4 linked regions of the Drosophila melanogaster genome follow. The protein of the gene in region 2 purifies or fractionates together with the protein of the main gene of each other region. This does not show direct contact. Each region holds a gene or a part of one and is shown on either strand. Other genes may lie near its edges. The genes, in order: Clk, dco, Bdbt and tim.

What was found.
Region 1: the proteins of dco (region 2) and Clk purify together in Drosophila melanogaster (affinity purification with western blotting; 2 studies listed by BioGRID). This does not show direct contact.
Region 3: the proteins of dco (region 2) and Bdbt purify together in Drosophila melanogaster (affinity purification with western blotting; 3 studies listed by BioGRID, with this or other methods). This does not show direct contact.
Region 4: the proteins of dco (region 2) and tim purify together in Drosophila melanogaster (affinity purification with western blotting, with the first as the bait; 2 studies listed by BioGRID). This does not show direct contact.

The regions. Positions count from the first base shown.
Region 1 is NT_037436.4:7,770,755-7,778,357, forward strand, and holds the start of Clk (clock), read right to left. Parts: upstream 4,850-7,603; 5' UTR 4,742-4,849; intron 1-4,741. UniProt on the Drosophila melanogaster protein: Circadian regulator that acts as a transcription factor and generates a rhythmic output with a period of about 24 hours. Oscillates in antiphase to the cycling observed for period (PER) and timeless (TIM).
Region 2 is NT_033777.3:31,052,381-31,062,992, forward strand, and holds dco (discs overgrown), read right to left. Parts: upstream 8,831-10,612; 5' UTR 8,697-8,830; exon of another isoform or gene 8,085-8,696; 5' UTR 7,995-8,084; intron 6,263-7,994; exon of another isoform or gene 6,248-6,262; 5' UTR 6,160-6,247; intron 5,549-6,159; 5' UTR 5,472-5,548; coding exon 4,149-5,471; 3' UTR 1,705-4,148; downstream 1-1,704. Other genes in the region: Alp4 (alkaline phosphatase 4), read left to right, coding at 1-32; Chchd3 (Coiled-coil-helix-coiled-coil-helix domain containing 3), read right to left, coding at 383-927, 1,207-1,333. UniProt on the Drosophila melanogaster protein: Serine/threonine-protein kinase which is involved in the circadian rhythm pathway, viability and planar cell polarity.
Region 3 is NT_033777.3:21,115,913-21,122,058, forward strand, and holds Bdbt (bride of doubletime), read right to left. Parts: upstream 2,945-6,146; 5' UTR 2,873-2,944; coding exon 2,012-2,872; 3' UTR 1,945-2,011; downstream 1-1,944. Other genes in the region: ppan (peter pan), read left to right, coding at 392-721, 784-1,148, 1,205-1,632, 1,684-1,943; slmb (supernumerary limbs), read right to left, coding at 4,808-4,827, 4,922-5,057, 5,118-5,307, 5,641-6,095. UniProt on the Drosophila melanogaster protein: Functions in planar polarity establishment and circadian rhythms by promoting the activity and localization of dco/dbt.
Region 4 is NT_033779.5:3,503,207-3,510,906, reverse strand, and holds the start of tim (timeless), read left to right. Parts: upstream 1-3,688; 5' UTR 3,689-3,711; exon of another isoform or gene 3,712-3,718; intron 3,719-4,150; 5' UTR 4,151-4,349; intron 4,350-6,328; 5' UTR 6,329-6,380; coding exon 6,381-6,546; intron 6,547-6,607; coding exon 6,608-7,656; intron 7,657-7,700. Other genes in the region: LeuRS (Leucyl-tRNA synthetase), read left to right, coding at 1-318; CG31954 (uncharacterized protein), read left to right, coding at 835-1,112, 1,180-1,735. UniProt on the Drosophila melanogaster protein: Required for the production of circadian rhythms. The biological cycle depends on the rhythmic formation and nuclear localization of the TIM-PER complex. Light induces the degradation of TIM, which promotes elimination of PER.

The sequences.
Region 1 (7,603 bases), on a different chromosome or scaffold from region 2:
GAGTGTGAGTGGGGCAGCTGCCAGCCAATTGCCTGGCTGCAGCGGGAATTTGAGTGCGGATGCTGGGTCTGTTTTTCAGCTAAAAATAAGCTGACATACACGCTTGCGATTGCATAAGGCTCCGCATTTGCCTGACTGTCTATTGATTTCTTTTTGAATTCCACGCTTTTCAATCATTTCCTGCACCTTAAGCCATCCTCCTTAACACACGCAAAATTATTCACTGTTAATTGACGGTCCAGCATTTAAGGGGCTTCGGCGAAAAGCAATTTCTTGCCTAACAACAACTTGAAAAGTTTTCAGCAAATGTCAAAGGTTCTGCAAGCCTGTTAAATGCATTCGACCAGTTGGATGGGGTTAAGACTGGATTTCCTGCAAGTCGGTGACGTTCAAGCTGGAACTCATTTAAAGTTGGCGCATTGACGAAAAATCTGTGTTTAATTAAAATGTGCAAAGCAGCTTAAAATTACCCAGCTCTACATCTGTCGTGCCAGTTGTAAATAATCCGTTTACCTCCGTTTGACCAATGGACCCAAAGCGCAGCTCATAATTTCCCACATGCCTACATGTATGGGTTGGAGAGCATTTTAAATACACATCAAAGGCCGAAAAGCGTCCCGTTCCTTTTTGGCCAAGTGTTGCTGGTTAACCGTAAGTAGCTGTTGGCCCAGACCCAGACTTCAAATGCTGCCAGATAATTGCCAATGACTCGCTTAATGGTTCGTGTTGCAATTAGTGCGGTCGGTTTGGTTTGTCGCAAAGTGCAAAAAAGCAGTCGAGATAAGGTTTAAGATGGAGACATATAGAGAGGGTGTCAGGTATTATTATTCAGTAAGCTAGCTTTGCCCCGAGGAATGTGGTCCAATTACAACTCAATTATAAACTCTGGAATTATTGGGTTAAAAAAAAAAAATATACGTTGCCTCAATACAGCTTAAATAATCTTTAAGACGTTTACAAAAAGTCCAAACTGCCTAAAATGTTTATAAACCTCAAGTCGAAAGATCAATCAATCACTTTCTAAAATGAAGACTTCATTAATCTCAATCCAATATGATTGTGATCTAAAGTTGCTGAGTTAGTTACTCCTCTTAAAAATCATTAGTGACTTTTAAATAGTTTTGAAGTTTGTTACTTATGAAAATGTAAGTACAATACCTTTCGTTCACCTTAGCTTTTCCAATCTCTTTTAGCCTTCACCCCAGTGAATTGAACTGCACTAAACAGCTTTAAAACCAACATCAAATTCTACACAGTATGTGATATAGAGTATAAGCATCATCTATTACAAATAGTATCTGATGTATCAAACAATTGGCATTGACCACATTGTTGTGGAATAGTGTGCTGTAGTGTGCTGGAATATCTAAATACACATTTGCAATGCGGAAGCCAGTTAGTCGGAGTGGAGAAAAAAGCACAGAAAGCCGGTTGGAGTGTCAGGTTTACTCAACCCAGGCGAAGATCGTTGACTGACCTACTCACGACGTCGGGAGATATAGTGGCCATAACTCTACCCCTCTCTGTAATCGGCAATCGCCCCGTCTCGCTCAATTGCACTCTCTAGTCATTGCTGTCTCGCTTTGGCGCATTGGAAACGGGGAACTAACGTCATTTGATTGCATTTGTAAAGCTTCGCTCAGTTACAGAAATTATCGCATACTATCGATGTGTGGGTTACCTATATATGTGCACCCCATATCTCTCTCTCTCTCTCACTCTCTCTTTCTCTCTCTGTCTCTGGATTTCTTTGTCAGTGAACTTGAGCTTTTGCTTGGCAATGCTAATTGCATTGCGATTACAACATAGTGCCCGTGTGTGAGTGATAATACCCAATACTCATACGACCCGTTGTACAACTTTGCTTCCTCGCCTTCTATTTCTCTTTCCGCAAAACTTGTAATACTTTTCGTCGCGCTCTAGCGTTTGTTGTCTTAAACTTGACTTAATTAAATTGTTCACTATTATTTTATTTTTACCTCTAGTCATTCATTGATTTATTTCGTCGGCGTTCGTTCCCCCTTATTTTACCGAGACGGGATTTAATTACAATCTACCAATTCCGAGTTCATCGTTAATAGTGTTCAAGGGGTATACTTCTATGTGGTTTTCCAGCATGGAGTTGTTGTTCTATAAACAGAACCCTAAACGGATCTTGGATTTTCCTTTCCCTAAACGTTTAACAATCTAATAATAAATTGACGTATCTGAATCATTAGCAGTCTGCTTAAAATCATCAGTTCATCACATAAATCGATCTTTATAATGATTTAATATGTTTAGATTGAAATTGAATAATATTTTCGTTAAGGGGGAAATTTTAAATGAATTCTATTTAGTATCGATTAAATTCCGACTAATTAAAAACTAACTTGATTTCATTTAAGTGGACAAAAACTCACTATACCATTACAAAATTCATTAGGTTAAACTTATTCAGTCCAAAGTTTTGCTCTCTTTAGGTTATTCCTTTTGATATAAATGAAGGGTGTCTAACTTTTAGTCATTAGAAATTTAAGTGCATTTTTCTATAAGTTCTTTTAATTAAAAAACGACCCAGAGGCTTTCCTTAAGTTTTCGTTCTTTGTTTCCAACTACCTCAATATTGTTAAAAAAAAAAAAAAATAGATCTGGAGTAGTTGTCAATCAGTTGCTTATCTCACCGTATCAACAACTAGCCATATTTGCTCTAAGTGAAAATGAAGTATACGCTCTGCAAGCCAGAGCGAAAATGGCCAGAAAGTGCAGCTGACTGCAGATTAAATTAAGTAGCGTTTCGTAATTGTGCCCCATTTATTCGACTAAATGCAAAAACAAGAATCGAAGTTGTATCACTTGTAATGTTTAAAACCTTTTTGCATGTGCCTATAGTTTTTTTAGTTGTCAATTGAAATAAGTTTTACTGAGAGCGTGTGCGACTACCGCATGATCGCACACCACTGCACAAATGCACACGCGTACTCACACCATTGCAGCAGAACACACGCACACAGATAGACTGGCGCACACAGATACTCGGGGCAGTCAAACGCTGACGATGACGTTTCAAAAACTCAAAAAGACGCCACATCCGAGACCTGAGACTTGTCAGCCAACAATAAAAAAAACAAAAAAAAAAAAATTTAAATAAAACAAATGGAAATAGTTGGATTGCAAAGCGACTAGCAAATTACCTAGCTAGTTTCAGCCACTGGAAATTCTTGTAATTAAGCAAAACTTACAAACAATATTATTTATCTTGAATTCACCGGAATGAAAATAGTGTACTGCGTAAAATATCCAATCAATCTTGCTGAATGAAACTAAAACCAATATCTAAAAATATTTTTTAATTTTTATATTTATTTTAATATTGGGTACGAAATCCAACTTTTAGAGTAAACAAACGACACAACTCCATTCAAAATTCGAATAAAGAGTACATTATTAAAATACCTTTCCAAATCTAAAGACATTTTAAAAAAATTATAGTTTTTATTATATGTATGTGGAAAAATCGCTCTCACAGGTAGTTTGTTTTCAATTTTTTTTTGGTTGAATGCACTTTTGTTTTAAGCGAGAAGTATCTTCACTCGTATTCGCTCGTATCTCATCCTTGGGTTTGCCTTATCTTTTTTGGCGCGGCATTTTTCTTCTGTTATTTTTGTCACTGCGGATGTTCTACCTAATGCACTTTTGCTTTTATTATTTTTATTTTTTTCCTCCACTTTTGCTTTGCACACTTCACAATTTTGCCGCAGCTGATTTGTAATTTAATCTTTTGAATCTGGCGCAAAACTTTGGTAATTAGCAGGTAAAGTAGTTAATTTACTTCGAAATTGAATCTTAGCTACATTAGTTTGGATGCACTTGTTCAATTAAATAAAACTTTACTACTTTAGTATTTAACTAAGATCAATTTTTAACTTGTGAAAACTTGTATTTGTGTTTTATTGCAACATCACTGACATATAACTACACTTTTTTATTTGGCTTTTTAAAAACGCCCATTATTATTTAAACTATTTATTTTTATCCATATATTGCCTTTGGCGGCTTATCCACTTTTGTTTTTTCCTCTGCCTTTCACTTTGTTTCTTCAAGAATTATTCCACATTTGTTCCTGTTTTTATGGCACGAGTGTTTTAAAAGTTACATAATAACTTTTCCCGTTCTGCTTTGCGCGTTTTTTTTTTTATACTTCTGCACTTGGTGACATATATACGCCAATATATAGAAAACGATATCCAATAACAAAAACACTTTAATTTCTTTTATGGTAAAAGGTAAAACAAAAAACTTTTTTGGCAATATCAGCAGAAACAAGGAAGAAAGCTGCAATTTAATTAAGCGCAAAGACGGAGACAAACAAAAATATTATTCCCCTTCAAATCCGAAACAGAACCGAAAAGGCGAAAAGTGTGTAATATGCGATCGAGTTACAGGCAGAGACAATATCAACGGCAGACGGCTTGACTTTGCTTCAGATCGGCCAAGTACTTGCGATATAAAACAATAACTGCGCGCTCAAAAAAAAAACCCGGAGAAAATGCGAATAAATCGAAAACCCGAATCGGAAAATTAAAGAGAGAGATCCGCTCGTTGACGCTGCGCTTGCTGGACTCAAACTGAATAAATGCACGAGAATTGCAAGTTCTAAGCTGGCGAAAATAAAAACTACAAACGCAAAAAGCCCGTGGATAAACGAAAAACCGCGAAATGCATCGAAATGTGAGCAGCGAGTCCCCAGAAGCGTTCTCACCGATACAAAGATACGAAACCGAATCGGTCGGGAGAGTCAGTCGGTCTACAAGTCTGTTGTAATGCCTTTTGCCGGCCGGGGCGTATACGCGATATGTGCAAGCATTCCCAGCTCTACCTGACTGACTGACTGATTGAGCACCGCCACTCGGCTATTATTTAATATGCTCTCCACACTCAGAATCCGCCATATCACTCAATTGCACCGATCGTGAACCTGAGTTGAGTCTTTATCTATCGCTCTATCAAACTATCAGCACGCTCAGAGCCACTCTGCTCAGAGGGTCTCTCTCGGATCGGATAGTATAGCTTTTCTATATAGTTTTCTTTCAACCTTTCTGTTTGTTGTCCAATATTCCGCGTGTTTCTGGCATTCCGTCTGGAGATTACAGATATAAGGGTCTCTCGGGGGTCTCGCAGGGGTGATTCAACGGGTTTTGTTTGTCCGCGACTTAAGTTCAAGGTCTGTGGCAGGGGTGAGTTTTTGACTATAGGTCGGCATAGACTGAAACTAGGTAGGTGGTGCAACATACCCTAACTATCTTTTGATCTATCTATACTGCTTCATGTCTATAAACTTACATTAACAGATCATATGTGCATTTCATGCAACGTGAGGCGAACTGAAATATAATTTGAAATAATAAGAGAAGTTAAACATAATTTAAAGTTAAAACTAAACAAACTGTTTTAATATTTAATCATTTAATTTAATGTAAACTTTTACTAATTAAATTGTCTTATAGTATGGAAAGTGATAAAAGAACTTCCAAACTGTCATTTCAGCTTTTGTTAATCCACACAAATAATTTCCAAAGCACTACGGCATTAGCTTTTTAATGCAAACTCATATTTCAATAAATATTTCATATATAAAGTAGTTTTAGTATGAATTCAATAGTGAACCACGACCCTTACCTTTGATTCCTTTGTCGTATTTTATCTTCAAAATCAATTCAATTGGAATTCAGCTCCGAATCTAGCACTACGACCTCACTTTCTGCAAAGGTAGCACAGAAAACTAATAATTCTGATTCTTATTCCATGATTGCCTAATCGCGAACCGCTTGCACCAGAAATTCGATATTTATTAGATGCTTACGTAACATTTCAGCACTCGATTTGCAATTTACAAGATTTTCTCGATTTGATTTGAAAGTTTTATAGGTTTATGCAACGCACAGGATGTATATATGTAGCTATTCAGCAATGCAGAGGTGTAGTCAGAACTACTTTGTTGTCAAACTGAAACTCAATAGTTTTTTTTATCAACCACTTTTATAAGTTAAAAGAAAAACCATAGTTATGTTCCACATTTATTTTATATTTTAATTGTTTTCCTCTTTATTTTACATCATTATTAAATTAAGAAGTACCAGTAAAAAAAATTTAGCACAAAAAACACAGAGAAAATATGTTGTTGATTTGATCTTAAGAATTTTAGAAATATTATAAATTTTTTTTTGTTTCATATAGAATTATGTAATAATTTCTTCATATAAAGTAGACACAAAAATAATGTCAAATTTTGGGATTGTATTGTATTTAGTGTCTAAACGTAAATACACGATGATTTAATTTAGACGTTCGTGTATATTTTGTATAAAATTACATAAATATTTTGTTGACAAAAAATGTTGATTTATTTATTTATTTTGTGTTGAGCTGAAAATTAAATTCGTGTTCTATAACTAGCGTAGAAAATGTACATATAATTTATGGATTATCCGTAAAAAGATATTTACAAAGACAAAGATGTGCCGACTGATAAAGCAAATTTTTGTTTTTAAAATTGATTTGCTTTATAGGGAGAGTTTGAACGATTAAAAAGAATAAACAAAATGAGTATGCGGCTTAGAAGTAGAAGAAATCAAAGACAAAGATGTTTTAGCTAATGTTACAAAGATATATCAAAGCTATCTCTTCAATAGGAATGCGGGCTGAAGATACAGATACGAATACAGAAATAAGCATTTAGCGTATAGCACTTTATATATAGGTTCATATAGGTGAGCATATCATTTAGTTAGCCTAAGCATAATCAAGAGAGAGTAGGGGTGTTATAGAGAGGGACATAGTTCAGAGGGTATACATAGTGAAAGGGTATTAGTCAACAGAAAGGTAATTTCAAATTCTTAACACATTAGTCCACCCATTAACTTTCTTCATAACTAGTTACTAGTTCAGTTTTCGTCTAATTACTCTTGTATATATAGTTTTTAGTTTCGTTTAGGTATATCAAAAAAATATTGCAGATTGTCTTAGAGTTCCAGCCGCTTTATACAAAGTAAATGAAGAGAAGTTTGACATTTTGTAAGAGTTTGTTTTCTTGGCTCTTTCCTATCCGATTTATTTGTAGGTGTACGTTTATTGGCCTTTGACTTGGTATTTTACTAGTAATTTTAAAATTGTTTAATGGTCAAAAATTTGTGTATGTTGTTTGTAGAAACCATGAGTTTAGCTTGTTAGAGATTTTACATTTCATTTCTTGTTTATTTCCTTTCCTTTGCTACTTTTGCTATGGCAAACGTATTTTCAAGACTTGTGGAATGTGGTTGTAGTCGATCTAGGGATATTATTTTAGCATTTATGGATTTTTGGGGCACGGGCTTGAGCCAAAAGCATGTTTTGATTGTTTCACTGGTGATTTCGGGTTTCTTTTCTCTTCGTTTTTGATTTAAACAAATATCTCTGGTTTGCTCTCTAGTTGTTTACACACATTTACAATACACATTACACACACAAAGTTATGGTTAGAGCTAAGGATTATGTTGCTGATCTAGTGATAATTTTGGTTCTGCTAAGGTTGCTTCGCTTTCGGTTTTGGCCCCTAGGATTAACATGTAACGTTCGATTACAAACG
Region 2 (10,612 bases):
CTGCGGCTATTTTGCGCGGTCGCGGGCTGTAATTAATGTTGTTTTAAATATATTAATTGTTATTAAAGTTTATAGACGTACGGATGGCTTCGTTGAATGAGAGAGTGAGCGAGATGGAGGAGTGATCGTTGCAACTTAACAAATAGATACACTGAAAAATATGCAATGTTTTTTATTTTTGTCATGGTAAACTTGAATAGAATATCCCGGCCATAAAAACGTCGATGGATTGATTCATTTAAGTTAGTTTACTATCGCTCGCAATGACACTTTTGCTTAAGTTTTGAGTACATCCCCATCGATCGCTCAATCGTTTATACAAAACCCATAAGGGGCCTCAAAGAAAAGTCAACAAATTAGGACAAAAGGATTTGCCAGGATCCTAGGCCGCCTTGGCAGGAACGGTGGCCTTGGAGGTCACTTTCGACGACTCTGGTTCCGCATCCAGCTTCTGGACGCGATGAAGATCGATGCACTGTCGGAATTGGGCCACCTCCTCAATGCACTTCAAGGTCTCCCCGGGATGCGCGCGGTAGCAGGCAAGCAGCTGGGATTTCAGGTCCTGGCAGGGAGGCACTTTGTGCGACGACGCGGTGCTGACGAATCGCTTGTGCACATTTTCTACAGCATTGGCGTACTCCTTCTCCAGGATGGTGTTGGTCTTCTTGAGGTTCTCCTCCAGCTTCGCCATGCGCTCCTTCCACAGCTCGTCATTCTTGATTAGCTCCTGGTTCATCTGGCGCTGCACATCGGCCGCGCTAATGGTGTGTCCTCCTCCCTGGACGTAAATGGGCACTGCAGCGGGATAGGAGGATACTTTCGGAGCAGGAGAAGCAGCTGGCGAGGATGCGGCTGGCTTGGCGGCAGCCTTCGTCGTTGGCTTGGGCACTGGTTTCGATTCCTCCGCAGCGGCTGCGTGCTCACGAGCTGAATTGGACAAGATATAAATCAATAGTTTAATGAAAAAAACATACAAATAGGAATGGAAACTAGCCAATGAAACCAAAACTACACCCTTTCAAGTGCGTTTTTTTTTTGTGAACAAGATAGAAGAGCCACTCTCTACAACTTGCTGCTGTTCTCGTTAACGAGTTTCCACTGTGTTTGGCGTAAACATTTGCCCGTTTTGACAATTGTTGCATAACACCGAGCAGAGTGAAATGGTCATTTCCGGATATAACTCCACAATGCCATTGGATTGCTTACCCTGCTGGGATATTCCCGCCTTCAGTCGCTTGACCACATCGTCGGATATATCAATAACGCCGGCAGGAGTTGGGTTTTCCATTGAAACGGTTCGGGGCTCGCGGGATTGAGACTGTCGGGCTCCCATCTTTGAAGTTCCTCTAGCTGCTGTTCGTGGAGCAAAACCTGGAATATCGGCAATTGGTTAATCGGTGTCAAGTCTTCGCAAGCTCATGCATCGCTTCGATCTGTTTATTTCGGCCTTACCCTTTTCGGTGAAAAACTACAGGGCCAACCCAACAAAAATAAGACGTGCTCAGAGTGACCTTAAAGCGCAAGCACGAAAAAGACGCAAAACAGCTGACCGGTAGAGTAGCCAGATTGTTCGACCAGGGCTGGTTGTTTTTGTATATTGGCGTTGCCAGATTATCGAATATTCAAATCCTTCACTTAAGAAACCTTCATTTACGGTGGAATTTAGCTCCACAATTTCCCCCAACTTCTGTTTGACAACACAATAAGCAAATCTGATGAGTCGTGTTATTATTGTTTAAGCTTTTTAATGCCTCGTTCGTAATTGTTATTGTGAATGGTGGTGTGGCTTATTTAGTAGCTGCTTTTATTCTGTTCACACATACATATTCCATGTTCGGTTTAATTCGAAATACTTGCTAATTACATAAATGTGGCCTTATCGTGCACTTATCGATACATCCGTCGAATTCCGATCCAACGTACTTTTGAAATGTTTCATGAACCGCTTCGATTTCGATTTCGATTTCGTTTGTGGTTATTTTGTATTCCATATCACTGGTGGTTTATTTTTAATGATTTTCTCTCATATCGCCCATGATACACTCGAACTCGATCCAATTAGTATAATTAGTTATTAGTTCAAAATTCTATTCTCAATATACATATACAGTTAATTATACAAAACCTTCGAAATTACTATGTTCTCAATTTGTTAGTTTCTCTATTTCGCTTATGCTGAATGGACTGCTCGCTCATACAAGATCATTTAGTTCTCCATTTCTAGTGGCTCATAATCGCTATGAATCAGTTTGTCGGGCTTCGATTTCGTTTCTTTTCTATCAATAAAATGCTAATGGTTTAGGTTTAGTACTCTGTATGCTAGGAGGAAAATCACACATATGTATATATTTTAATTTTATACTTTTGGGGTTCGGATATTATTCTTATGTACACTCATCACTAGGTTCTCAATTCTCGGTTTGGGGAGGAGGATTGGGGCTTCTCCACGGTCGCGGATCCCCTAATCTGAATGCGCTATATGGTCGTGTTTACAAGGTTGGTCGTTTGCAAGGCGTGCGCTTCGAATGGAGTTGTGTTCGAAAAATAAAAGTAAAATGACTGAAACAAACCGATTAGAAAACAAAACAATTTGTAAGAAATATCACGTAATGTACTTTTATTTAAGTTTTAGTGGCTTCTGCGTTCAGTGATCCGATTTGTGTTTTGCATTTCTTTGATTTGTTAGTTCTTAGCCAGCCGATCGCTGTGGGGTTTACATGTTTACGTGTTCTCATAAGATATAGTTTATATTAATGTATATTCATATTTTTACCCATTCATTATCTCTTGGCGCATTTAGAATTTAAGTTTTTTTTTTGCATTTTCCTTTTTTATTTTACGGTTTGGTATTACTTATAAACAAATTTCATATTATAGCTATAGTTTATTAGCTAGCGTTGTGTAACTTTCCTCCGCAGGGCCATTACTTACATTGTTAAATCGAAACGTTAATGCAATTGTTTTGTTGTGTATGTCTAACGCAATTTATATGCTCTCTATCTTAGTTACATGATTTTGTTGCGTAAACAAAGGGCTGCCCCAACTCCCAGCTCCCACATCTCGCATCCCATTTGCCCACCGCTCGGGAAATGCGCGCTTAAGTGTTTAAAAATCGGAAAGATATATATGAACACAGGCAGCAAAGTGCAGACCACGAAAGTATATATATATATATATATATATATATATATATATATATATATATATATATATATATATATATATAAATATATATATATAGATAGGGGAGTAGGCGGTACAGAAGGTTACATAATATAACATAGGAGGGCCTTATAAGTCAGAGCGTTGCTTAAAGCTAGAGAACTGCACGTGGTAATCGCAATCATTTTACCATCAACTTAGGTTACAATGTGGGTGCCTTGCTGTGTGGCATATGCTTTTGTATGGATTGGATTCGCTAGAGCTAGAGCCTATAGTCTAGGGTTAGGGACACTCGCTGAACGCGGTGTCCTTTGTTTCTTTTACACAAATATTACACTTACAATCGAGTTATTATGTGTTCATGATCGGTTCTGCATGTTCTGCCTGATTTGGTCTGGGACTTCAAGTTAACAAAGAAAAAGTTGAGCCGGCCAAGAGCAAATAGTCAAATGCAAAACAGAATTAAATGCCTGCGTGTCCTGCTAACCCTCCTCCCAAACCCTTCCGCGGACCCCTAATCAACCGCCGATCTATTGGCCAATCTTCAGGCAGGGATCTCAAATCAATTGAACAGTGCGGTTTGTTGCAGTTTCTTGCAGCCAGGTTGCAATCGTTTATGTTCTAATAGTATAAATTAAATTAATCATAGGCTAGTTAATTAATAATAAGCGCGCTCAACGTTCTAACATCTGGGAGCAGAAACCAAAATGTCAAAAAACAAACGAAAATGTACACACAAAAAAAGAAAAGCGCTGCGCTTTGCTATGCTCTGCTCTTCTTCTCTCACTGCTCTTGTCCTCCGTTTCTGGCAGGGACCTGGTCATCCTGCCGCTTGGATACATTCAACGTGTTTTACCGCATATATAAAGCAAGTATTATATATATTAGGTATATATAACTATATATACTACATGTATAGTTTGTTGAGTTCTGTTGTTGTTTGTCTACTGTGTCGTGTCCAGCGTCGCAACCTAAACGATAAAATATTATTTGGCGTTCCCCACGCCACCGCCCCCTCCGCCGCTCGGCATACCGCCTACGCCCACTCCACCGCCGCCACCACCGCCTCCCTGCCGCATCCGTATCGAAGGCCGACGCTCCGGCGTGTCGTACGGCGGTCTCGACGAGTTGGTGGCCGCCATCGAGTCGTCCATGTTGAGTCCGTTGCCGCCGATCAGTTGGCTGCCGTTACCGCCTCCATTGCCGCCCAGCATCGCCAGCGTTTGGCCGCCCTGGAGTTGCTGTTGCGCTGCACTGCCTCCTCCGCCACCCAGCGCCGCATTGACCTTGTGCTGCTGTTGTTGATGCGAGGAGGCGGCTGCCGCTGCTGCCACCGCCGCTGCTGCGGCCACCGCATCATGACCCGCCTGGCCGTCCGCTCCGTCCTGCGCCTGCTGAATCGCCTGGGGATTGCGAGGTCCGCCAAACTTAAGCAGGTTCCAGTCAAACACATAGTCGTAAGTGAAGCCCAAACGGTGGAACAAGTTGCGGAAGAGTTTGCGCAGGTGGCAGTAATCGGGACGCTGGTCGAAATGCATCTGGCGACAGAAGTTCAGATAGTTGACGAACTCGCTGGGGAAGCCCTTGCACAGCACCACAATCGAGGTGGACAGCTTCTTCTCCGAGATCCTCTCGTACTTTTGCCTCTTGTTGGCTGCCTTTAAGCCCTGCCAGGGCAAGGCGCCCAGATTGAAGTACATTAGGACGTAGCCCAGGGACTCCAGGTCGTCACGACGCGATTGCTCAATGCCCAAATGTGTGTTGATGGAGGCATAGCGGGCAGTGCCCGTGAGGTTCTTGTTTTCCCGATAGGGAATGTGCTTCAGCGACCGGGCATCGCGGAATTTCTTGGCCAGGCCAAAGTCAATGATGTACACCAGGTTGCCCTTTTTGCCAAGACCCATGAGGAAGTTATCCGGCTTGATGTCGCGATGGATGAAGTCCCGCGAGTGTATGTAATCGATGCGGGAGATCATCTGGTCCGCCAGCAGCAGAACCGTCTTCAACGAAAAGCGGCGTGAACAAAAGTTGAAGAGGTCCTCCAGCGAGGGTCCGAGTAGCTCCATCACCATCACATTGTAGTCGCCCTCGCTGCCGCACCAGATTATGCGGGGTATGCCTATGCCACCCTGCATCGTCTTGTAGAACTTTGACTCGATGTGCAGCTGGGGGTGTTTGGTGCGGATGCACTCCAGCTTGATGGCCACCTCCTCGCCAGTGTTGATCGTGGTGCCCAGGTAGATGTCGCCGAACGATCCCGATCCTATCTTGCGGCCCAGGCGATATTTGTTACCCACGCGCAGCTCCATTTTGTTACGTCTGTTTCTGTGGGTTTCTGTGTGGTAGAGTTCGGACTCCTCGGGTTCCTCGGATTTGCGTTGCCTTTCTGCGGGACCGGAGAATTGAAATTTAGTTTTAATTTTACAACACATTGCCTCGAAAAGAAGGCTGTACGCTTTTCTTACTCATAATACTACACGCTACACGAATTGATCGATCCCAGTTCAGATTAGCTGCGCTTAAAATATTATACAGATTTAAATATCTACGCCAAGGACTAAAACTTTTACTTTGTAATCGCGAAAGGATATTGAAAGGTTGCTACGATGCAGGCAAATTGTTGAATTCGATCAGAATGTAAATATTCGTAGTATTCTTAGTTGCTTTGACTAATCATAGAAATAGCAGCGGCGTCACAGGTTTTTACGAGTAAATATGAATCAAGTGACTTCGAAAATTCGGCTATTGACCACTAGCAACAATGTGTGATATTATTAGAAGAGATTATTTGCAAGCAACAACACAATATCGAACGCCTTGTTAGCGATAGTGATAAAATATTCGTCGGATTTTGTTTGCTACAACTTTTGATTCTTCTGACACTATATTGTGACACGTGATGACAACCCTGCTGTTTTGTACAGTTTGCTAAAAGTCTAATTTTGAGAGCTAACGGAGCTTCGTGAGTATTTTCCAACACTTCTCCACTTTTCTCACCTGGCACTGTCCTTTCGTCTGAGCTCCTTTCTTCTTCTTGTTCCGATTTGTTCAAGGCAGTCGCTTATGGCTTTGTATTCGAAGGGTTCTGTAATAGGAGGTACTAAGTTAATTTTTTTTTAGATCCTCAACATGGTTAATCGAAATTCGACCCGTCTCGCGATCACTTATATATAGAGAGTAATCCCCTGTTTTTATCGCATCTGCAGCGTAAGCCCGAAAAACGTGCAGAATTCGCTTTTGTTTGTGGTGATAAGGATTGTGGCACACAGACATGAAAACAACGCACGGCAACAATCGATATCGAAAATAGAAAACCGTTAGCTAAGAATAAAACAAGAGAGAGAGAGCGGGAGAGAAGTAAGCTTGGCTTACGTTGACAACACAAAAATAGCAGAGAAAAGCGTACCAAAAGCAATTCGAAATGCAAATGCACAGTGGGCAAAAATGATAAGAACCCGAACCTCGCACAAAGTAAAAGTTTATCTCGTATATTTATATTTAAGAGTGAGTGCGTCATTGCATTCGGCTGTGTGTATTGATTACGAATGGGGAAAACAACAGATTTAATAAGTGATGAGTAACGATAATTTATATGCACAGAGCAAAATAGCACTACTTTTTGACATTCGTCACATTATTGTTTTAGTCATTTTAATATTATATTGTACTATTATAAAATAAAGCAAATGTGCCGTAGTGCTTTTACATCCTTGAATAGATATAATTCTTTTTTTCAAGTGTATTTTTTACGTGACGACACCAGAAACATGGAGGTGAATCAGCAATCAGGAAAAGACAACGAAGAGATTAACAACAAATAGATAAAAGAGACGTGTGTTTGTGTATGCGTGGAGTAAACAATCGGCGACAAAAGGGAGAGAAGTAAAATAAAACGCAGCGACTGTGAAAATGCCACTTAAATGACACTTTCAGTGGTGGAAAGCACAAACAAATAGCGAAGATAAAGCGCATGGAAGTCAGAAAACGAAGCAACAAGCCGAAAGTTTTCACTTGCCGGTCAAATATCACAAAAATTTAGTTTAATTGTTTTCGGCGGCTCTCACTCACTAACCCCTTCCCACTCCTCTTTCCCACATTCTGTGCGCTTTCTTTTACCGCTCACGCATTTCGATCGCTCTCTCTCTTTCTCTCTCTCTCTCTCTCCTCCTTTTCCCGACTCTTTATCACTCACTCTGCGGTTCTAACCTCAAAACCTGCCTGTGTTTGTTGTTGTTTTCGCCTTGGCTTTGATTTATTTAACCGAAATGTACCGTTTTTTATTTGTATCTCCCATGTTCTACACAGAAAGAAATCACTGTATAAGCACTGTAAGTCAAATTGAAATGTGGTATTAATTTTAGGAGCTTTAATTTGTTTACTGGAAGGCTAGCAGGGAAAACGCGGTCTTTCCTATTGGTAACTAAATATTTCCCAGGGTATCCAGCAGTTGTTTCGGACCAGCGGGTAAACACGAATTGATTACAATTGCAAAACAGCTGCACGTTGCGTTGGCGGCTGCCGAAAAGCTTCCGCAAAAAAACGCACTGGAGAACAAAGAAGATACAAAAAACAGTTGTTCCAGCAGGCGCCACAAAAGTAAAAAGCTTAAGTAAACAGGGAAGAGCAAATGGAAAAACCAAAAACCAGAGCAAAACCAACGGGGAAACCTCAGAAGGGGAAGGAAACTTGCAATTAATTGTCAAACGCTAATGGCCTCCGAAAACTAACGGCACTCCACGAATGCACTGCGAATAACGGGGCTGATAAGGAGCAGCCGATAGCGGGTGGAGAAGGGAAACTTGAACGCACAGTGGAACAAATTCCGCACTTACCGTGGCTTGTTTTTCTTATATTCCTTGTTTCCTATTCCGCTTTGCCCACTTCCTCTGCTGGCGACGCTGCTTTTCCTTCTTCTAATTCGACTGAAATCGAAATCGAATTTTTTAATTGGATTGATTCTGCCACAATAATTTTCATTTTCTTTGTTTTAGAGCCCAGACGTTGTTTTTGTTGTAGTTGCCACAGTCGCACACAAACACACGCACACAGTCGCACTTTTTGGGGCCACACGCAAGCGCATTTTATGCAATAATTTTAATAATACTGCATTGCTGCCATATTTCAGTTATTTTTATCGTTTATCTTCGAGTCGGTTATGCTGTTCTTCTCTGATTTTATGGCCACATTGATTAGCATCTTGTTGCCAATCAACTCGAGAAAATTAAACGAAACCAAACGGAACTCGGACTCTTATTAAAAAAACCAAACTTATGCGAGTCGTTTGCCCTGGCAATAGATTCGTGCACACTAGTCGTCCCGCCCGCACTCGCACGGTTTCTACCGCGAGCACGTTGCTATCCCTCCTGCTTCAGCATTTTCACACCAACACAAAGACGAGGGCACTCACTCACACACTCGCACTCTCAATGAGCACTGAAATGCTGTTGGGAAATTCGAGTTTTCCTGCGCGTGGTAACCGCCGCTTTTTCGCTCGCAAACGGGTCTGTCGATCCGAAACGCTACTGACCACTTACGTTTTGCATCAACGCTGCGCTTTCGTTTCAATTTTTCTGGCTATTTCACATAGATTTCGACGATTTTTTACAAATTTACGCCATCTTGATATTCGCAGTGTGACCGCGCCGATAATGAAGAAAATTACCATCTGGTATTTACTCCTCAGCGAATGTCTAGAAGATATGTAATTGTGAAAAACTGTGATTCATATACTAAGTTAAGATAGTCCAAAGTTGGTTTCGAAGTACCACATTAAGAAAATAGCGCAAGAGTATTGGAAAATCAAAAGAAAAACGAAATTATATCCTTGCAGCTAGCCATAAGTTCAAAGTTCGAGTAACTGGAAAGCTGTGAAATAGCCAAGTTGACAACGCTGTTTTTGTTATATGGGCACACTAGTTCTTACATAGACCCAGTGCTGCCAGATGGACGAAAAATATTTTTGAGCTGCGCCACCTAGCGGATGAGTTGGCGAAAGTGGTATCCAGGTGGCGCCCGAAACAAAAGGTGGCGCCTTATTTCAGAAATGCAATTGAAAATATCTAAAGTTATTGAAAGTTTTTGAATTATGCATTCAAAGGCCCATCTGCTTAATTTTATTTTCAAAGAGAATACAATAAACAATACAAAAAAAAAAAAATCATTCTGAAATGATATTTATACTAATATACAAATTTGATAACTCAATAATATGTAAATAAAATTTATGTCTTAATTTGCAATGTTCTTAAGAAAAGTTGTTAACTCTTTTTACAGGCTTGTGCTCCAAATTCTCGTGTAAATAGAAATTGAAAATGGATTTCATTGGCATGTCTTGCAGTTATAGGTAGCATGCCAATTTTGATGTTACACAGATGTATCGAAATACCTGAAACGTATACTTTTATTGCAGCAATACGAATAAAGCAAAACACGTGTGAATTCCATTAGTCCGCCCAACCGCTTTCCCCATTTACCCTCACATCGTGCATTTTCCGGCTGTGTAACCCAAGAAACGATGACATAAAAAAAGGAAGCAGATCCAGTTATGTATGCATATATGAGAAAATGTGTTTTTTTTTTTTTGGGAGTATGTGCCAAGGTGTGTTTCTTTTTAAGTGGGGGTAGGGTAGATAAGCAATCACTCGAAAATGATAACAAAAAAAGGGGTGAAAAGAGTGTAACGATTCGATATTGGGGCTGGCAATTTAAAATGAAATATAGACAAAATAAATCACATTAATTGCACTTGCCTACGATTTTAATTTTCCATTGCTGTATTTATATACATTAGCCAGAATGCATTTTTTTTATGCAACTATAGAAATCTCCATTTTCAATTTATTGGTGAATCGTTCAAGATCTTCGTAAAAACCCGCCTTTGTCTCCCATTGGCTGGGAAAAAGAGAAAACAAAGCAATCCAACGAGGCAATTGAAGATACAACAAGTAAAACGAGAAAACAACTCGTTTAACCGCTCACACACACACACTAATTCAAAGCATATCTTTCCCACTCACACACGCAAAGACGTGCGATCGCCGACGAATGAAAATCGTCGTTATTTCGACCGATGGTCAACTACCAACAAATAAATAACGAAAAAAGTAAACCAAATATGTAGGTGCGAAGCAATAAAAACCGAGCGAGACGCGTGTATGTAAATGATCCATTCAAAGAACACTGTAAAAAAGTATGCCACATTATTGGGATACTAAGACAATTTATTTCCTAATTTTGTTGTATTTTTTTTTAACACGCAATATAAACTTGTTTTTGATATTATTCTTTAAATAAAAATACGAATCAGACGACAGACTTAGCTGCCTCTGGTACTGGTTTTGAATAATATTTGAAAAACTTTAATCACTCATTTTTTTGCAGTGCCCTTTTGTATTTTTGCATATTTCCTGACTCTGCGCCTTGCTGCTTTTCTTGCTCGCAAAATATTTCC
Region 3 (6,146 bases), 9.9 Mb from region 2:
AACAAACAACCGGAAATTCTTCGACTTAAACGCAAATTCATTACCACAGCACTGCAGCTCGGATTTTCTTCTTCGGTTTCTCGCAACATTTTAAACGATTGGCCACTTGGTAAAACTAGCTGATAAAGAGAAATCAAACAAAAACAGTTGTAAAACTTTAAATGCATAAATGAAACGAAATAACATCATTTGTGTTTGCTATGTTAAGTGTGATTAAATAAATATAATTTAAATAAAACAGAAGTGCTTTCAATTGGGCGGAAAATCGAAATTTAAAATGGGATTAGAGTGACCAAAGGCAGACGTCGGAGTGGGTGTTTGGTATTTTCCGCGCGAGCAGCCACACTGATCCATACACGTGCGGGAGAAAAGTGAACAAAAACATTGAAACATGGGCGGTAAGAAGAAAGTGCATCCGAAGACGCGCACGGCGGCCTTCAAGGCCAGCGAGCCGAGCGAGATCGTGGAGGCGCCGCACTCCTTCGTCATCCATCGCGGCCTCGCCTGTCCGTACATCACGGACCTCACCCTGGACTTCCGCCGCATTATGGAGCCCTTTACGGCCAGCAATCTGCGCGAGAAGCGGATGAACCGCATCAAGGACTTTGTCAGCCTGAGCAGCTTCTTCCACGTCTCGCACATGGGCATCTTCAACAAGGCCTCCACGCAGCTGTCCTTCAAAGTGGTCCGCTTGCCGCGCGGTCCTTCCCTGACTTTCAAGGTTTGTTTGTTTCATCGCTTAGTTTATACTGGATATTTTACCGCGAAGTTATTCTCTGTCAGGTTCACCAGTTCACCCTGGCCAGAGATGTGATCTCGCTAAGCAAAAAGCAGATGATTGACAACGATCACTTCAAGCACGCTCCGCTCGTCATCATGAACAACTTCAGTGGCGATGGCAAGCACCTTAAGCTGATGGCCACCACGTTCCAAAACATGTTCCCCTCAATTAACTTGGCCACGGTTAATATCGGCACCATTCGTCGCTGCGTCCTGTTCTCCTACAATCCGGACACGAAGCTGGTCGAGATGCGGCACTACTCCGTGCAGGTGGTGCCGGTTGGCTTAAAGCGGGCGGTCCAGAAAATCGTCAAAGGAACGGTACCCAATCTGGGCAAGTGCAACGAAGTCGTGGACTTTGTGACCAAGTAGGAAATGACCGTTTGTTCTCATTCCATCAAATAATCATAATATTGATTTTCAGGGACGGCTATGCCTCCGAATCAGAGGCCGAAGATGATGAGCAATCACATGTGGTGCTGGCACAGACTCTTAAAAGCAAGGGCAACTTGGAGGACAAAAAGAGCTCCATAAAGCTACACGAGATCGGACCTCGACTAACCATGCAGCTCATCAAAATAGAAGAGGGCCTTCTGACGGGCGAAGTACTGTATCACGACCATGTGGTCAAGACAGAGGACGAAAAGGAAACCCTGCGCAAGCTGGTCGAAAAGAAGCGAAAGCAGAAGGAGCAGCGCAAGAAGGAGCAGGCAGAGAACCGTGCCCGCAACTTGAAGCTTAAGAAGGATGAAAAATGGGCTGCCAAGAGGGCGGCAGAGGGACGGACTGACAGCGATCCCGAGGATGATGCAGAGTACTACAAGGAGGAAGTCGGCGAGGAACCAGACGAAGGTGAGTTGTGCTACATGCTGCGTAGAATATAAACTAATGTTTCCTTTGCAGAACTGTTCAAAATGGAAGCGAAGTCCTCCCGAAAGCGGCCTAGTTTGGGCGGCGGAATGAAATACAAGAACAAGCGCGCTAAACTGGATACCAAGGACAAGAATGACAAATCTGAGCGCACGGACAAGTACGATCGTAAGGACAAGTTCGATCGCAAGGACAAGAAGGACAAATTCGACCCCAAGAACAGGAGAGCCAAGTTCGATCCCAAAAACAAGCGCGCCAAGTTTGACCACAGAAAGAGTAGAAAATCAAAGTAGTACATTTAACATAAGCTATTTTATAAAGACCATTGGTTAACACGACATCGCAATGTTATCAATGGGAACTAACTAAACATACGTTGCACCACCTCCTTGTAATGGGCCTTGCTATCCTTCCAGCTAACAGCGATGTTGTCGCGCAGCTTGCTGAACTCTCGCTTCTCCTCGTAGTTGGGCATTCGCTCGATGGTGGCTTGCGCCTTGGCGAACTCCTTCAGGTGATAGTAGGCGAGTGCACGCCGGTAGATGCTCTTCTCGCTGGGACTCTCCTCCGTCTCCACAAACTGCGTGTGGTAGATTACATGCTCATAGCGTTTCTCCTGCAGCAAACAGGCGGCCAGGTTGGTCTGTATCTGAATAAAGAGCTCCTCCACCGCCTGGCCGTTGATGCCATTGGTCTTTTTGGTCAGTTTATCGAAGGGTTTGTAGGTGATCAGCAACTTTGCGGCACGCACAAAGTAATCAAAGGCGAATTTCGGGAACGTCTTAAAGGTGGCCACGCCGCTTTCCTTGAGACGTAGTGCCACCTCATAGATCTCTGCAGCGCTTAGCTTCTCCACCTGAGTGTTCTTCACAATTTTCTCCAGCTTCAGTTCAAATTCTATTCGTTCGCCGGTTTTGGTCGTGATGCTACAGGCTGCCGTTTCACCCGGCACAAATTGCTGCAGCAGCAGCTCCAAGTAGCAGTCCACTGCGGTCAGGCTGGTGCCCATTTCCAGGCTGTGCTTTTGAGGATACGTAGCGGACTCATCGCTGACCAAATATTTGCTAGGTCGTCCTCCCAAGTTGGTGGCTTTCTTGTTGACACTGAATTCCACCGTACTGATTATCGTGGGCTTGTCCATTTCGGTGAATTGGAGGCCAATTACCTTCTTGGCCAGACCACGGTTCTTGTCCTCCCACTCTGTGCCCACGTACCAGTCCATTTTGGAATATTTGCAAATTGGGAGCTTCGAAATTTAGCAGTAAGCAAAGTTTGCGATTTGGCGATGTGACCAGAAAACCGTCAAAAATGTACCTATCGCGAATTTCACAAAAAATACTTTGTTCTCACTAGTTCATAAATGTAATGCATGGACTACGCATCTATTTGCAAAACAAGTGAGTTAGTCGACTATCAGATACCTTGTACGCAGCTGGTGGGAGTGCGAAGGAGAAATTGGGCAACAATATGAAAATTTTCAGAGCTTAGGAAATACAATAATATGCGGTTATATAATATTATAAAACCGCCCAATTCAATTCTAGTGGTTTTAATCTTTCTATTCCAAAACAAAAATGTTAGCATGCATTTATTGTAACTCATGGCTCTTTAGTAAAACTTTTTATTACCCATTTCCGCTTCACTAAATTTAATCAATTGGGTGAGTCCATTTAAGATAAACAATTTTCTAGCATTTATACACAATTTATTATTATTTCTAGTTATGTTACATATACTAAGCCCATTCGCGCACTAGCAGTTGCTCGGCCATCGTTTAACATGCTGCCCTCTTTCCACTAACAGTTTTACATAATCCGGAGTATGTGTTCATATTTTTGTTAACACTTTTGTTAAAGTAAAACGTTATGTACATACATTAGTTAACGCGGAAGCGGCGTGATCGTGATCCAGATCAAGTATAGCATTGGAACTTAACTTACAAATAGCAATACACATAGTAAAATATCCATTGATCACAATCAACGAACGGCATACATACATATAATTATATTGTTGAAATTGCCTGGGAATTTGCTATTTTCTACATACATCGGTATATCTAAAACCTATAGTTAGCATAGATCAATCAATCAAAGAATCGGTTATATATTGCAGTACAATGGATCCATTTTCAATTCATCTTCGCTCGAAAGATGTGCAACTTCCAGTTGCAGACACTGCTGCGTGTCCTTCTTTACACAATTAACTTTTCAATTAAAATATTTGTATTTCGGTTAACTTAGATTACAATTGCCAATAAGATACTAGGCTTAGATTTACTTTACAATTAACACAAACATTAGGCAAAAGGCGTGTAAAATAGGTTACAAATGTGCAAAACGGCAACGCGCTCTGCCAATTTCAATGATGCAACTCTAACTAACATTTATGCTAAAGACTGATTCTTCTGGCCGCGCTGAAGATTCCTGCTGCGATTCTTGAGGCGGCAGCTGCCTAAACGCGATACTTGTGTATTTGAGCTAAAGAAACACTTAAAATAACGCCCAATCGATCGATCCACTGATCCGAAGGGCGATTCAAAGACTGACCCTCGATTAGTATTACAGCGCCTACATAAACTTATATATAATTTTACTTTTTCTGTCCTTCCGTTTTTGCATCTTTCATTTTTGTTTCATTCGTACACGACAAACCTAACAGCCAGTTTTGCGAAATATCTGCATAAATGGTATACTCCTGCATTTATTGTTTGTTTGCTTTTATAACTTCATTTAATTCATATTATGTGGTTGTGTTTCGTGTGTGTGTGTGTGTGTGGATGTAGTGTGTAAAATAGACGCTTAGAGATCGCTGTATCTTGGGTTCAACATCGTTTTTTGTTTAAACAAGTCTGCTGTGTGTATGTATATGCTGCTGGTTAACGACCATTCACTCATTATTCATCATAATCATTAATATTCTCAACATCTATATCGAAATCCAGGTCATCCGATTCGGGATCCGAACCGGAACCGGTGACGGATCCCGAACCACCAGCATCCCGGTGCCTAACATATCCCCCCATAAACGCGCCAGCATCGTTTCTAGAATCCTCCTCCTCAAAATCATCCTCGTCGTCCTCGTCCGCATCGTCGTCCTCCTCTCCTTCGCTCGAGGATTGTAGATGTAACTCGCGCAGCTGCCGTTGCACAAAATGTTAATGTTCCATCAAGGCCGCTATAGCAACAAGCACAATGGAAATTGAGAAAACAAAACGAAATCGTTATGCATAATTCAAGAGATCAATGGGGTGAAAGTTGGCTTCTCTTACGTGACGGTGTGCGTCCGGTCTTGTTCTCATTGGGTGTGAAATTTAGAAAGTCCCAAATCAAAATTGTATCATCATGCGAGCTGCTAACAATCTGGAACTCATCGAATTGCAAACGAAATACGCGACCAGTATGTTCCTAAAAGGGTTCACCATCGAGATTAGACAAATGCTACTACGGACTGGCCGAATGACTCACCACAAGGGTATTCAGACAGAGAGTATTGGAGGCTGCTCTTGGATCCAGGGCGGCGACCAAATCCCAAACCTTGATCTTGCCATCGTAGGCACCGCTAACGATTCGTTTCGTATCGAAACGAATGCAGCGAACCAATTCCTCATGGCCCTCCAGGACACGTAAACAGGCACCGCACTCAATGTCCCACAGTCTGAAAAAAAGAAAATAAAATTCAAATTTGTTATATTAGATTGTTGTAGACAAAGTAAAAGAAAAGAAAATGATCTCTTTATGCAGTTTAAAATGATAGGAAAACTTAATATAATATTTATGATATATAAATATATACAAAAACGAACAGTTCATTAATATTCAGATACTAACAAAATGTAAGGAAATACGCGTTAATTAAAGCTACTATCTGTGATACGGCAGACGGAGTTAATTCCCACTACTAATCGCAACATTCACGCAGAAATTATCTACACCCATCATTAATCACATCAGCGCCGGAAAGTCGGTTGGTTAAGTTCACACGCCTCACCTTATGGAATTGTCTGAGCTGCCGCTGACCACCAGGCGATCTCTGTACTGTAGGCAGGCGATGCCACGCTTGTGGCCATTCAAGGTGCGCACGAATTCACAGCTAGATGTGGACCAGACCTTGATGGTGCGATCCCCGCTGGCGGACACGATGTACTTCTCATCAAAGTCCACCACATTGACGGCGGCACGGTGACCGACAAGGACGCGCCGCAGCGTAATCTCGCTGGGTGAGGTCATGTCCCAGACGGCGATGGAGCGATCCTTGGAGCAGGTAACCATCATGCCATTGTTAAAGCGCAAGTGCAGCACCGCCTCGCAGTGGTGGATAAGGGTGTTGACCATCTCGCCGGTATTGACGTCCCACACGCGGACGGTGGAGTCGCTGGAGCCACTGATGATCACCTTGTCGTCATACTGCAGGCACAGCACCGATCCAGTGTGGCCCATTAGGGTCTGCAATTCGGCGGGCAGTGTGTTAGTAATCAGAATCTTATGGATTGATTA
Region 4 (7,700 bases), on a different chromosome or scaffold from region 2:
CTCACGAATCCTATCGAGCGCTCGTCGCTTTTCCAGGTCAACACTGTCATATCCGAGGGAGACACGGTCCAATCTCTGCGAGAGAAGCTCTCCAAGATTATTGGACTTAAAACGGATGCGGCTACCCTTAAGATCTGGCGGTATGAGGATCCCGTTCTGGGACCCCGAAAAATTCCCAACTTTGAGGATTACAAAGCAGGAAAGTCTGTACTCGGCGAGGGAAACTTCGTTCTGGATGTGGAGAACAAGAAAGTGAGCCTGGAGCAGGCTGGAAAACTGACCGAAGTGGGAAGGAATCTGATCTATGTGGTGGATTAGGTCAAAACGGCATCACAAGCCAAACTAACTTATTCATAGAATGAAATTAAAATGTTGTAAAACACAAATAATGGCTATTAAAATGTACTGTGAGTTGGTTGTGCCCAATTTAACTTACGATAGATTATGGTATACGATATATTCCTAAGTTAGCTGCTGAACCATTTAAGTTACCTTATGTGACTCCGACTGAACTTGAAACCTTTTACAATGACTGTTTCATGGGGCATTACAAGTGACCCAATTAAACAATTGAATGCTAACTGAAAGATAACGACTTTATTCTGAAACATCGAGGAAACCAAGTGACTTCTTAAATGAGAGTGTGTCCAATGCCACCCCGAAATGAATGTGTTCCGAGCATTTTGTGTGTCAGCTGGTGGATAAGCTGCGCAGTGATGGCACAGCGGGTCTTCTACCCACTGGGTGGCTATCACTAATCCAAGAAAAGCATTCCTATATAAGGTTTTACTCTGCCTTAGGCCATTGAATACCTTCGGTTTATGTTAAACAACCATGTTGGCTCTCCGCTTGTTTGTACTGCTGCAGTGCAGCCTGTTGGTTCTGGCTGGCGTTTGTTTAATACCACAGCCCGTTAAGAGGCAGCGATCGCTTGAGGATGTTATAAAGAATCCCTGGAAGCTATCACCCCGCCTGGATGGCCGTATTGTGGGCGGTCACCGCATCAACATCACCGATGCACCACATCAGGTTTCGCTGCAGACTTCGTCCCATATTTGCGGCGGTTCTATTATATCCGAGGAGTGGATATTGACTGCCGCCCATTGCACATAGTAAGTAAGCCGCTCAAGGAATCTTCTCTAGAGAGTATGCCAAAAATGATTCCTCCTGATTTCGTAGTGGTAAAACGGCAGATCGCCTGAAAGTGCGACTCGGAACCAGCGAATTTGCTCGCAGTGGCCAACTTCTGCGGGTGCAGAAGATCGTGCAGCACGCCCAGTTCAACTACACCAATGTGGACTACGATTTCTCGCTGCTTCAGCTAGCTCATCCCATCAAGTTTGACGAGACCAAAAAGGCGGTCAAGCTGCCCGAGTCTCAGATGAAATACATGGACGGGGAAGCTTGCTTCGTGAGTGGTTGGGGCAACACCCAGAACCTGCTGGAGTCCCGCGAGTGGCTGCGTCAGGTGGAGGTGCCTCTGGTCAATCAGGAGCTTTGCAGCGAGAAGTACAAACAGTACGGCGGCGTCACCGAGCGAATGATCTGTGCTGGATTTCTGGAAGGCGGAAAGGATGCGTGCCAAGGCGATTCCGGCGGTCCGATGGTCAGTGAATCGGGCGAGCTGGTGGGCGTGGTTAGCTGGGGCTACGGTTGCGCTAAGCCCGACTATCCGGGTGTCTACTCAAGAGTAAGTTTCGCACGGGATTGGATCAAGGAGCACAGTGGTGTCTAGATTCGTATATCCTGCACAGTTAACATAGTTTGAAATCAATTTCTTCCTATGCGATTGCTTTGACTAGATGTATTTCAAATACCCGCAATAAAAAATTATCAAACGATGCCAACCAATCCGATGGAACCATTTCATAATGCGCCGCTTCAATAGAAGGATTCGCACACGTTGCCAGCACGCAGCCAGCATTTCAAACACGCGACCCTCCAGGATATCGCACACTTCGCCGGCGCATGTCGCGTTGTTGGAAATGAGTCTACTTGGCCACGTTAAGAGGATGTGTCGGGCTGCACGAGTCCTTGGCCGTTTGTGAGGGATGGAGTGGGCATCGCATCTAATTGTTTTGCTTTTGATTGGGAGGCTTATCAGCCAACTTTCATCGTGACTGTCCACCGTTCATGTGTTACATGCGGCGTATACGCAATTACTTGCATTACGTATACGTAGGGACAAGTTTTTGTGCATTGGCGTGGCTTACTTTGCCGCTGAACGGACTCCGCCATTGTTGTGTTTGCTTAGTGATAAATTAGCTTACAGAAATTAACATCAGGCGTTGCATAATTCAGATGTATGTACTTGCATAGCCTTGGCATTGGCGAAGTGATCGCACAACTTACGTTGAGTGGAAACTTTGGGCGGATCGGCTGAAGTGGTCTAATCAATGCTATGTTCTTACATTGGCACTTTCGTTTTTCTCCATTCACTTTGCAGCAATGGATATATAACTTAAATATTATTTGCAAAAAATAAAAAAATTAATTCATAGTTGAAATGTATTCAATCAAAATCTGCTCCTTTATATTAAAAATATAGTTAGATTGTCACCTTTTACAAAAGTCTAACCATCTAATTAACAGCATTATTAATTTGTTTCTTTTTTTTGTGACAACTAATCTTCTTATTGAAATAATAGAATTTGATAGTCTGGGTTGAATAACATTTTGACGTCAAATCGCCTATTGTGAGTGAGTGACTTCGTAAAATGAGAGTGTCAGTTATTTATTTCTATCGCCCCAGTCCGAGCAAAAGTATTTTCCTAAACCTCCGTTTCCAGTCGATTTACCACCGCGATTCGGTGCCGACGTGCTGCAGCTCGCGCCACCGTGGAAACACTCAAAGTAAATATATACGCTCCCCACAGTATACGCATTCAATGAGCCCGGTGCGTATACGCCGCGTGTGCCCGCGCCTGCAACCAACTGTTGATTCCGTTCCCAAAAGGATTATTCAACGGATCATCTGAGGCACTCAGAGCCGAACAATGTCACCCTGACGAAGCCTACGGCAGAGTCGTTCGAAGGCGGCGTCAAAAACGTTTAACTTTACACTGAAAAAAATATTGGTTTTAATGTGAAACGTCTGTGAGGAATACAGTACAGCAGCAGACAAAATAATATAATATTTATGTATGTAACAAAATATGTCATTGAATATATTATATACATATAAACGTGAGTGTTGTATAATCAAAAAAAAACGTAGTTTTGAAATCATTTATATTAATTATTTTGCACACTAAATATATACATTTATTAAATAAAGTAAAGTAAAGTATTAAAGTAAAGTGAAGTCTCGTTATTGAAGATACCATTTGGTAAAGTGACACACTTTTTTTTTTTGAGTGCACAGAAACGTTCTGACTATTGCTGTTGTTCCCAGACTGTTCTCCGTATTTTCCGGCGCTGGTTATTCATGTTATCGAACATCGTAGTGGCGGTTGGCAAATAAACGTGCGGCACGTTGTGATTACACGTGAGCCGATTTCCCCGGCCGTCCGGCATTGAGTGCGAGCGGGACGGAGCAGCGCGGCGAGAGCTTTCGGCTAGCGTCTTTCGTTCGCACAAACGCCGGCAGCGGCACGTTGGCCCTGTGTGAGTGGGTGTTTCGGTCAGTGTGTGTATCTGTGAGATGCATTTTGTATCTGACTTCGGTGAGCTAGCCGTAACTCAGATCGCATTCAGCATTGTGCGTTCCAAGTAAGCGGTTCGTTGAGCGGTTCGAAGTTTATCAACAAAATAGAAGTTTCGAAAATAAATATCTCTTAAATAAAGAAAATTTAATAAAGATATTTTGCTAAAATAATCTTGAATACTTTTGTGAATTCATGCAATAATATTTATTAATTCACATATCAATAATCTTAAAGAGAGTGCTTACATGACTCACTGGTCTTTCTCTCAGTGTTTAGCCTAGATTGCAATCGAAAAAAGTGCAAATTAATTGCTATTGAAGTTGCATTTTACATAAGCCAACAACGAGTATAAAGAATTTTTTGTGCAGTGTTAACAAAGCAAAGTTCACAAAGTGTTAAATAAAATTGCAAATCCTTAACAAATTTTTCATGAGTGGTTAAAATCTTAATATTACCAAAAAAACTGAATTTACCCTAACAAATATTCTTAAAACTACTTTCAGATATAAAACAAAAATAATTTCATCAGTGTATATAACAGCACTGAAACTATAACACGATCTATTCTGCAAAGAAACCCAAAAAGTGCTCAGAAAAGCTCAATTGCTTAGAAACATAAACAATCAGCTTTAATTGTTGATTGCAATTCGGCTAAAACTAAAACAGTAAAATTGTCTGCGATAGAAAAAATTTAAATAATTGGTAAGAAATATAAACCACTAGTATATTTAACATTACATAGCTTAGACCTGACCTAACACAGTTCGTTATCAGTTGACCCCTGACAAAATTACACTTTAACAAAGCTTTCTAAAAAGTAGCTTTAAGCGGCGACATATTCAAGCAATTAAAGCTTGCACAGAAAGAAAACCCATTTCCACATGAAAACGAAATCACATAATACTGGGAAAATGAAAACAAGTTAAAGGGGCAATTTACGAAGCACAACAATTCTCCGTTACAATTCTTATGTAAAAAGCACGCAGTGAACTGTCAAAAAAGGAGGCTTGGCCTTCCACGGAATTCCTGTCAGAAACAGGATAGCGAAATAAGTACGGGAATCGTCCTGAAACTGACAGATTTCATCCTGGCACACAGATGTTCAGTGGTTTCTGCTCGTTTAGCTAGGATTTTAACGACCCTCAGATGTATTTGCATTGCAAATTCAAATCTTAAATATTTATTCGTGATCTATCTTTGCTTTCCGTTTCAAATGCAAATTCAACCTCGCTTCAATGAATTTCCCCTTTGCGAAAGAATGAAAATTGTTTTCACTCTCCAAGAAAAGTAGATACTCAGCTCGAAATTTCAATGCGCATATCATTTTGTAGTTCTCGCCTTGCGTTTTATGTAAGTTGGGTCTTTGATTTCATAACCAGTCAGCGGAAATGGTATTGGGGTTGCTAGAAACGTTTCACAGATACAAAGATGCTCAGATGATCTATGATTTCGGATGGTGCAAAAATTATGCTCGACCAACAAAATTCGATATTAGTTTCAGTAGAAATATCTAAGTAAAATTTAAAAGAAAAGTATTTTTATTTTTTTTCTCTTAGATATCACTGTTTTCTTATTAATTATATTTTTTAATATTTTCTATAAAATGTCCATAATTTATTGTCCCTCAATTTACACACAATTAAATCTCCCTTCTTAGATATAATTTCCTATTGAGCATTATTACATTTTAAAACAATTTTATAGTAAATCAGCTAGGCCATAAATGGCTTTGTAATTTTAAAATTTTCTCAACTGTTTGCGCTGTTTATTTTCCGCTCTTGGCCATTTAGCGTGCCATTTAACGTGTTCGCCCAAAAGAGGGCAACGAAAACCAATGCAACTAAACTGCATTCGCTTTAATGGCCAAATATAGCACGAAACATTCAAAGTCAGCAGGCTGGAAGCCGCACAAATGCCAAATCCTGCATCCCGATTCATGTCCTATAAATATCGCTACGGGTGGTCGGCTTTTCCGACTGCAGGCTTTGTTCCTCCGGAGTCCCGTAGTCCGTAGTCCGTTTGCGAACCCAGTGGCTTTGTCCTCCAACTGTGTTGTTTACACAATCAGCCCGGATGTCTGCAAGTGAGTCACATGCGGCCACCGGGTGCCGCAGTCGCCTGTTGAGGATTTGCCTCGTTACGTGATGGCTGAAGGTTGGGCTCCCCCCTGTGTGGGGGGGGGGGGTGGTGGTGTTTGCCAATCCAGCCCACTTTTTCACTTTCCGGACTGGCAAGTGTGGCTTCTGGGAACTTTCGGGGCTCGTCTGGTAGGCAGTTTCCTTGATTCGACTCGCAACGGGTGGTAAATGGGAGACGTGCTGTGCGGACACGTGTGTGAGGTGATGTGGAATGGGAGTTGATTCGGGTTTCATCCCCGAGCGGCTGCAATTGCAGCACATTGCATGGACTGCGCCCTTGATGGTCACATGGGTGGCGATTTTGTTTGCGAGTGCAAATATTTATGGGAATCATTTGTGGTTGCGTAATGCCCTGGAAGACGATGGGTTAGTGACCTTAACATATTTTAAGGTGACTGTTACAGCTTACAAAAATGCCATAAATTTTTCACCATTTCACATCTCAGTTTAAATGTGTAATATTATTTAAATTCACCTCTGGTACCACGTTAAGAATATTTAAGTTTTAATAACAATTAAATATACATTTTTGTTTACTTATAGTTACAGATACCGCGCAAATGGCTAAGAAGTACCTCAATGTTCGCAGTCGACAATGAGCAGAGTTAGGCAGCTCCACAATCACATCTGGAATAATCAGAACTTTGATAAAGTGAAATCGGTTATGGACTGGTTACTAGCAACTCCGCAGTTGTACAGCGCGTTCTCCTCCTTGGGTTGCTTGGAGGGCGATACCTATGTGGTCAACCCGAATGCATTGGGTGAGTAATCAATATAGGACTACTACATTAATTAGGTATTTAACTTATTTTCAATCCCCAGCCATTCTGGAGGAGATCAACTACAAGCTCACCTATGAGGACCAAACACTGCGCACCTTTCGACGGGCCATTGGATTTGGCCAGAATGTGAGGTCAGACCTGATACCGCTGCTGGAGAATGCCAAGGATGATGCGGTCCTGGAGTCGGTCATCCGGATACTCGTCAATCTGACGGTGCCGGTGGAGTGCCTCTTCTCCGTGGACGTGATGTACCGCACGGATGTGGGTCGCCACACCATCTTCGAGCTGAACAAGCTGCTGTACACCAGCAAGGAAGCATTTACCGAGGCCAGGAGCACCAAGAGCGTGGTGGAGTACATGAAACACATACTGGAGTCGGACCCTAAGCTGTCGCCGCACAAATGCGATCAAATCAACAACTGTCTGCTGCTGCTGAGAAATATCCTGCACATTCCAGAGACGCATGCCCATTGCGTGATGCCCATGATGCAGTCGATGCCGCATGGCATCTCCATGCAGAACACGATCTTGTGGAATCTCTTCATCCAGAGCATCGACAAGTTACTCCTGTATCTGATGACCTGTCCGCAGAGAGCCTTCTGGGGAGTGACCATGGTGCAACTGATTGCTTTGATCTACAAGGATCAGCATGTGAGCACTCTGCAAAAACTACTTAGCCTCTGGTTCGAAGCCTCTCTGTCGGAGAGCTCTGAGGATAATGAGAGTAATACCTCGCCCCCCAAACAGGGCAGTGGCGATTCCAGCCCCATGCTGACCTCTGATCCTACCTCTGATTCCTCGGACAATGGCAGCAATGGCCGTGGCATGGGCGGTGGCATGCGGGAAGGAACAGCGGCCACTTTGCAGGAGGTGAGCCGCAAGGGTCAGGAGTATCAGAACGCCATGGCCAGAGTGCCAGCGGATAAGCCCGATGGCTCCGAAGAGGCCAGCGATATGACGGGGAACGACAGCGAGCAGCCTGGATCGCCGGAGCAATCGCAGCCCGCCGGCGAGTCCATGGACGATGGAGATTACGAGGACCAGAGACACAGGCAACTGAACGAGCATGGCGAGGAGGATGAAGATGAGGTGAGTTTCTATGACCAGTGCCATTGAAATATATAACAAAATAT